Drosophila melanogaster: one gene and its partner. The protein of the gene in region 2 purifies or fractionates together with the protein of the main gene of each other region. This does not show direct contact. Each region holds a gene or a part of one and is shown on either strand. Other genes may lie near its edges.

The links.
Region 1: the proteins of Cyp4e2 (region 2) and Flad1 purify together in Drosophila melanogaster (affinity purification with mass spectrometry, with the first as the bait; one large-scale study listed by BioGRID). This does not show direct contact.

The regions. Positions count from the first base shown.
Region 1 is NC_004354.4:12,901,682-12,905,610, forward strand, and holds the start of Flad1 (flavin adenine dinucleotide synthetase 1), read right to left. Parts: upstream 1,836-3,929; 5' UTR 1,660-1,835; coding exon 1,648-1,659; intron 1,482-1,647; exon of another isoform or gene 1,397-1,481; intron 1,286-1,396; coding exon 635-1,285; intron 171-634; coding exon 1-170. Other genes in the region: CG4404 (uncharacterized protein), read right to left, coding at 2,596-3,353.
Region 2 is NT_033778.4:8,442,362-8,446,290, reverse strand, and holds the start of Cyp4e2 (cytochrome P450 4e2), read right to left. Parts: upstream 1,732-3,929; 5' UTR 1,618-1,731; intron 1,581-1,617; exon of another isoform or gene 1,564-1,580; 5' UTR 1,521-1,563; coding exon 1,361-1,520; intron 1,310-1,360; exon of another isoform or gene 1,210-1,309; intron 934-1,209; coding exon 824-933; intron 758-823; coding exon 408-757; intron 350-407; coding exon 1-349. Other genes in the region: Cyp4ad1 (cytochrome P450 4ad1), read left to right, coding at 3,539-3,704. UniProt on the Drosophila melanogaster protein: May be involved in the metabolism of insect hormones and in the breakdown of synthetic insecticides.

The DNA of each region.
Region 1 (3,929 bases), on a different chromosome or scaffold from region 2:
AGGTGCGGATTAGGCACTGTGTTCGCACGATTCCCGATCGAGGTGTAGCCCCGATCGTACAGGCTGCAATAGGGCACCGAGTTCAAGTGGATGTAGTGCCAGACGTCGTGGTAGCTCCACTCCAGCAGCGGATTCAGGCGCATCATCGGCGGCCAGTCGTTGTCCGTGGGCTAAAAAAAAAATCGAAATTAGCATCACTAGGCACTTGGGGTTTCCTAATAGGAAACAGCAGTTTCGAACTTTCCAAAACTATTTCAAGCTAGCTTCATTATTATCTTTGTGATCTTGTGAGATTTTCAAATAAGCGGGATACATTTGGTTTTGTAAAATACTCGAATAAATTCTATGTTAGGTGGTGAACCACAGAACTCGCTTATCTGCGGAATGGAATCATGACATTCGAAAATGCCACTGTCACTGTGATATTGGCAAAGGGCACATACTTTTCTAGATTAACAATGGCATAATTTTGATACTAAGGCTGTGACTTTGATAACTTGGCTTTATAATCAATCTACTACTCTTGAGAAAGAAACTTTTCTTCACACTTGAACCTACGAACTCCTGAGCATTTCAGTGCAAAACATTTAAATATGATTTATCTCCTGATTGCTATATTCCTAACCAGCTTCACCTGCATGGGCGCCAGATGCTGGCAGTAGGGATCCGTGTTGCGGCTGCCCACGAAGACGGCCTTGATCCGCGGCATGTCCGACGACATGTGGGTGAGTGCCTCCTTGAGCGTACCCTCGTACTGAACCAACTGGACGCGGTAGTTGCGTACGCAACGCTCGACGAACTCATCGATTTCCGGAAACGAATCGCCGGATTTAATGTACAGCATGGGAATGTCGCCGCTGGAGATGTTCTCCTGGCGCAGGTAACGCATAAGGAGATCGAGCAGCACGGTGCAATCCTTGCCGCCGTTGAAACAGAAAATTAGCTCCTCGACGCCGTAGATTTGCAGGGTTTCGGCGAAGAAGGCGAACGCTTTATTTTGCCGCTCCTCAATGGCCAGTCGATCCTCGGCTGTTAGTTCCATTGGATTTGATATATCCTGTCCCTTTGCCACATCCTTGGAGTTCTCCGAACGATCCGACATGCTCCGTTTCTCTAGAAACAAATGCTTTTTGCTAATGCTCTTTGCGCATAGAATGCTGTTGTTCGCTGTAATGTTTGTGATGTTTGTGATGTTCTTCCGGCATTCGTTCATGGTGCTCAGTGGGCGTAATGTTTGTGGGAGGCGTGGCCGTGCCCTGGCTAGCAAAAACGATGACGTCACACGCTGTTAAAGTCAAAAGAGCAACTATTAGCACTCAATAAATAAAACATAAAAAAAACTTTCGCCGAAAAATATCTTTTTTTTGCGTGTGTGTGTGTGTGTGTAAGTATTTACTTTATGTAATTTTCTAGGCCCATAAACAAACTTTAACTGTGCGATGAGCGTGGTAAATGCTTCGGCGGTTGACGTGCGAGTGAGTTGGCTTATTTGTGGCCAGCCAAAAATTACATCACTTTCGTATCGGAAAAGTCAGCAAAAACAAAAAAAAAGTGATATAAAGCCAAAACCTCAGGCCCTCACACGCACACGCACACACACGCATGCAGGCCAAACACATGGCGCACGCACACACGCGCATAGCTCACCCAATAGCTCATGTGTTTCGTTGCTGCATCGACTGTTTACTGGCGCACATTTAACTGATGAGTTACGGCGACAGCAATGCAATTATTCCATTTTGTTAATTGTTATTCCGCGCCAGTGATTTTCCTTCCTTTTTTCGTCTTTTTAGTGCAACAACAAGCGAACGGCGACAACAACAACAACAAAGCCAGGAAGCTTTGCGTACTATCGGTGCATCAGCTGTGCGCTGAATCTATCGATTGCACTCGATTAAGGCGGTTGGCTAGCTAGAAATTCAAAAAAAAAGCTAGAAATTTATACATTAAATAATTTTGAAAGTTTCGTTTTGATTTTAATCCGCAATTTCGCATATCGCCAGCAAATGCGACATATATACGCAAATTTTGTTTCTGTTCCGTCTGAAGTAAAATAAAATGTTCGTAGTTTAAATGTTTTATTCGACAATAACAAATTCGTGTTTGTGTGTGTGCTTAACAACAACAATAAAAAGCGTAATTAAAGTACGCTCTACACATCTAATAAATGGGCACTGTTGGCGTTTTCTATCAACTGGGTGTGTTTTCTTCGATTCTTGTGGCTTTTTTTCTTCACGGAGAGAAAATATCACATAACTGGTGATTTCATCCTGTTCCACTGGGCGCTTTACAAATTTCGATGCAGTGCATATAAACTTCGATATAAATTTCATGTACGTTCACACTTAACTTAGACATAAATATTTAAAAACTAAGTTCATTGTCTAAAAGTTAGCAATATGATGGCCAGAATGAAATCTGAAAGTGGTGAAAATGTTGGTTTTGAAATAATGTTGCATTTGGTATGTAGAATATTTCCGCACAATCATTCAAAATATGCATCTCTTGTGTGTGGTAATTTTGATAGAGCCGTTTACAAATCGTAATTTTCATCGCTGAAACGTAAGCATCTTCGGTTTTTTTTCCGTGTACAAATTAGACATCCTTGTTATCCAGAATATCGTCGATGAGTCCGACGACCTTCTGTCGAAACTTTCGATTCTGCTTGCCGTTCATCTCCTTGATGTACGGATGCAGGCTGATCAGAAAGGAGTAGTCGGCATCCGGTTGTGAGCCACCTCCTCCTGGTCCGCCAGTGAAAACACTTAGAGCTGACGTAGCCGGCTGCGGCGGCGGTGGTGGTGATGTTGGTGTTGTTGTTGTTGTGGTTAACTTGTGATGACCGCTGCCATGTCCCTTGAACCACTGCGTCAGATCCGACCAGCCCAGGTGATTGCCCAGCGCGGCGGCGGGCACCGAGACCAGCGACTGCTGGCTCACCATCCGCTCCAGCTGCTGGTTCGCATTTGACGAATCGTGCTCCACTTTGATGGAATGCAGGCGGAGCGGCAAACAGGCGGTGGGTTGCTCCCGATCCTGTTCCTGATTACGACGATGCTCCTCCTCGGACACCTGAACGTCCAGCGGCATCTCACCATCGCTCACCTTGGCCTCCTCCTCCGCCGCCACCACCTCATCTTCCTGCTGAGCAGTGGCAGCTTGGCCGGGTTTGCGGAGCACCATGCCCGGCAGCTGCTTGTGGCAGGATCGCGACTTGGTGAACGGAACGAGAAACTGAAGATACTTCGATAGGTAGTATTTGCGCTTGCCGCGTCCCGTTTGTGTGCGTGCCAGCTTCAGGGATCGCAGGAAGCTGCTCCTTATGGTGCGCCATCGCTCGCGACAGTTGCGAACTGCAGGAGAAACAAAACACATCTTTTACAGTACAAATTTCTACGGTACAAATTGAAACTTGTTCACCAAAAGGTAACCACAGTACTGAGTTGATTTGCACATCAAACTCAATTCTTGGATTTATACTTGTTTGTAACATGGAATATTTTGTAGTTTAAATACTTTTATTTTGTATTTATTTTGAATTTATTATGGGAATTTAGTTGTACGAATAGTACTTGGTTTTTTTCCAGTGCACCTTGGCTGAGTGCAGCAACAGTAAACGAAAAGCGAAACGCAAAAGCAGCAACAAATTGCAGGCAAAAACTGCGCGACACAGTGACACACCTACACCAATGCAAAGCCAGGCAAATGGAAAACAACAACAAGTGCATTCGTTTCGCACACCAATTCGCGAAAGCTTGCATCATAGACACACACACGCACAGACACACACACACACACACAGGCGCGCGCGCACACGGACAGTGAAATGAGCACGCAATTGGCGGCGAAGAAGAAGAAGAGGAAGAAGCAGCAGCTTGAGGCGGAAAATCGCCGTTGCCTTTTGCCGATTTATTTTTTACCGCCTTTTT
Region 2 (3,929 bases):
AAGCAAATAGACAGCGAACGACACTCCAGAAGTGGTAGTATCATGTCCTTCAAACATAAATGTGGAGACCTCTTCGTACAGTTCCTTGGAGTTCAGGGGACGACCATCAATAGTGGAGGACAGCAGAGTGTCTAAAAAGGCCATTTTCTTGCGAGTGAACTCATCTCCCGCGTTGGTCGAAACTGCACCCGATTTGTGGGCTTCAATGCGCTTAGCGATGATCTCGTTGGTAAAGTCCTGCAGTGTTTTTAGAGTCCTGCTATAGGCCGGGTAGTCCGGAGCCAAACGATACAGCAGTTCATTGCGCTTCAGCGGGTGGAAGGCTCTCATGTTGATGTTGTAGCACATGCTGAAAAGGATCAAGAGTCATGCAATCTGATAGTTCGACTACGAGGTACGAAACTAACTCTTTGAAGGCCTGCACAATGGAAGAGCTGCGGTTTTCCATGGCATTGATGGACACACCCATCGCTGTGTCGCAAATGACATCCAGGGTCAAATAGTGGGCCTGTTCTTGGAAGTCGAATATATTGTCCCCGGCAGCAACTGTCTTTAAGTGCTTGATAAACTTGGTGGAGTTCTCGTTCATCACCTCGTGGAAGTCCTGCAGGATGTTGAAGTGGAATGCTGGGGTGATCATCTTGCGGTGTTTATGCCATTTGCTGCCAGTACTGGTGAGGAGACCTAATCCCAGCCAAGGGTGTGTTAGTTGATAAATGTCGGACTTTGTGATCAGCGTCTGACTGCTGAGTATGAACTGAAGAAGTACGAAAATAATAGAGTCACATGATTACATGATTGGTGGAAATTCGCTGTAACTCACTTCAAGGTACTTGGAGCTGGTGACCAATACATTAGAATACGTTCCAATCCAAAAGACGAAGTTGTCTTTTCCATACTGATGCCACCAGGAGAAAACCGTGTCGAGTATTTCTATATAGACGTGAGAAAATGCCATTAGTAGGCGGATCGCGTACCAATATCGGTATTCCGTAGATAATCATTGCTTGTTTTTGGCACGCGATTTTCAGTATTCATTAGTGCAGTATAATACATACATACATACATCGTATATTACACAACACAAATCAAAGCCTCGTCATTATTTTTGCGATACTCGACCTAGGCTACGATTAGCCCATTTCTACAAGTGCCAGTAGCCCCATTATCTGATAGTTAACACCCTTGTTTTCCGGTCGTAAAGTCGCTGGCCCAAAATAACCTTACTTGAATAGCCTCGCCGCTGAGTAGATTCGATGCGCAGTTACCTCAGTCACAACGCTATTCGAGATGGGTAATTTCAGGTGTGTCCTCTGCGTGGCTAACGCTACGACTTTTCCGGCTCCTATGAAAAACCCACCTGACGGATTCTTGCCCATTTGATGAGCGTTTCCCATCAGCGGCAGGCCGCGGGGGCCGTTGAACTTGTTAAGCACTCTTCTCCGGCGGAATGTGCTCAACTCCAGATATGCAACCAGCAGCAGTGGTAGGGCCAGAAAAATATACAACACGAACCACATTTTCGATCGCGAGTTCCACGACAACCGTCCAGCCCGCGAATCACTGGAAATATGAGAGCTTATTTGGGCCGGCGGGCGGTTTAAATACGAGAGATACCAATATCAGCCAGCTCCCCAGTCGCTTGCTCCCTTATCTGCCGTTTTCCTAATCCAACTGTAGTCTCCCGAATATAAGTATATATTTTGGTGCTTTCAGCATGACTTGCCGAATCAATATCAGGTTTTTTAAGATGAGCCCCCTGATTAATCGTTAGATGAGATGGAGAACCAATAGTTTTCGAGACTGCGCTTAAATGTGTAACAGTTAACTTTTTTTAAAACTGTATCCAGTATATATTGTTTTATGGCAGCAAAAAATGGAATAAAACAAAACGTTGATAAACATTCGCTCACAACAAGAAAGAGAAATCGGGAGAATTGATGAACACATTATGTTTGCAAAATGTTTTTAAGATTACTCTTACAGAAATTGAAGAGAAGAGAGAGAAAGTCGCTTGCTCTTCTTAGCTTATCAGCAGCAAGACTTAAATTTGGTAGAAATCACAGACGTAAGGTAAAATCCACTGCAAATTTAAATTTACATTTACATTTAAGAAATGATATCAGCACAGTGTGCGTTTATTTTTCGATTATTCTGTTCCGCTCCGTCACGTTTTGAGTTACATATGTAAATAGAAGCAATCTTTTTGGAAGAGTTTTATAGAGATAGTTTTAGAACTGAGAGACGCACATGGCTATATCGATATAATATCAGTCAATAAAACATGATACTGATCAAGAATATATATACTTTATATTCTCGCTGCAAAATTCGAACTTAAGCCAAACACGAAAAACGTTTTAAAAGAAATCCAATTTTTTACATTGTCTCTGCATCATGACTTGTAGTATGATAAAAGCATTATAAAAGCATATGGGAAATGCATTCTTTCGTAAAAATATGCTTTCGGAAACGAGTTAATTTGTGAATTTACATCAAAATGAATAGCTTTGAAGATAAATCTAGTGGAAGAGAAGAAAATGTTAAAAAGCGGCATTATTCTGTTCGTTGTTCTTCCGTTATCAGCACAATGCTATATATTTTTCAAGAAAACGCTGTTATGTATAATTACATTATATATATATATGTTATATTTATATTTGCTAAAGCAAATAAATTACTTTGGACGGCATTCCACCTAGTGACTAATCGCACTAGGAGTGTGTGCGAATGCGACTGCTATATGTACATATATATATACACAATTAAATGATAAGTTCTGTAGTTGTACGAACTTAAGAAATGTTTATACTTATGTATATGGTAATTCTTAATTTTTTGTCCTATTTTGAAAAAAAAAAACTATTTAAACTTATTCGTTTTAAAATTCAATGCTGTGTAGCTATTAAAATTCCTTATTAATATTAAAATTTTTTTAAATGCATTAATAAATTGAAAAGTCATGATCGTCTGGTAAGTATAAATATAAATATAAACACCAATCAAATTTTTTTTTAAATTTATATGTATTTAGTTGTTAATATCAATCTTTTTACCACACACCTTTTCAATTTGATTGCTTTTCCAAAAGTTATCTATTTTGTGTTTACTATGTTGAACAAACAGCTTATCGTGCCGTTGTTAATCCCTCAATCAAAAGTGTCCCTATTAATAATTATTGCGTGTCAAAAATTATGGCTACCGCCCTAATTCATTATCACGAAGCGACTAACAATCGTTTATTGGCCCCAAATCTTCTGGCGATACCAAAAGGCCTTTAGACCTACACGTCATCAGTTTAGTGAGTCAATTCCCACTAGGTAGTCCACAATAGTTATATTTATCAATTACCGACGGCAATAAAGTACTATGTTAATAGTACATCGATTGCAAGCAACAAACAAAAAATAAAATGCATAAAGTTCAGATAAGCTATCGAAGGCATAATCGGGCGAAAATTGGTCACCGACTAATCTGCGAATGTTACGGCAAACCACAGTCTGTGCGGCATTGCGAGCGAGAACAGTTGGGCGGCATCATGTTTCTAATAGCCATTGCCATTATTTTGGCCACCATTTTGGTGTTCAAGGGAGTGAGGATATTCAACTACATAGACCACATGGCTGGCATCATGGAGATGATCCCAGGACCCACGCCATACCCCTTCGTGGGTAATCTGTTCCAGTTCGGTCTCAAGCCAGCCGGTGAGTACTGACCAAATAGCCTGCCTATATTTATGAACTCTTCAACGTTTAATGCCAAAATCGTGGCTCTGACCGAATCAGCCCGCCGCAATCACCTGGGAATTTTGCAGCGATTCAATGCGTTCATTTTCCGGTGGTATCGAGTTGCACATTTGGATTTCATCTCGGATTGTGCTGATTTCCTCGACTTATTTATTGTAATATTTGCTACAGCTTTCATCATCA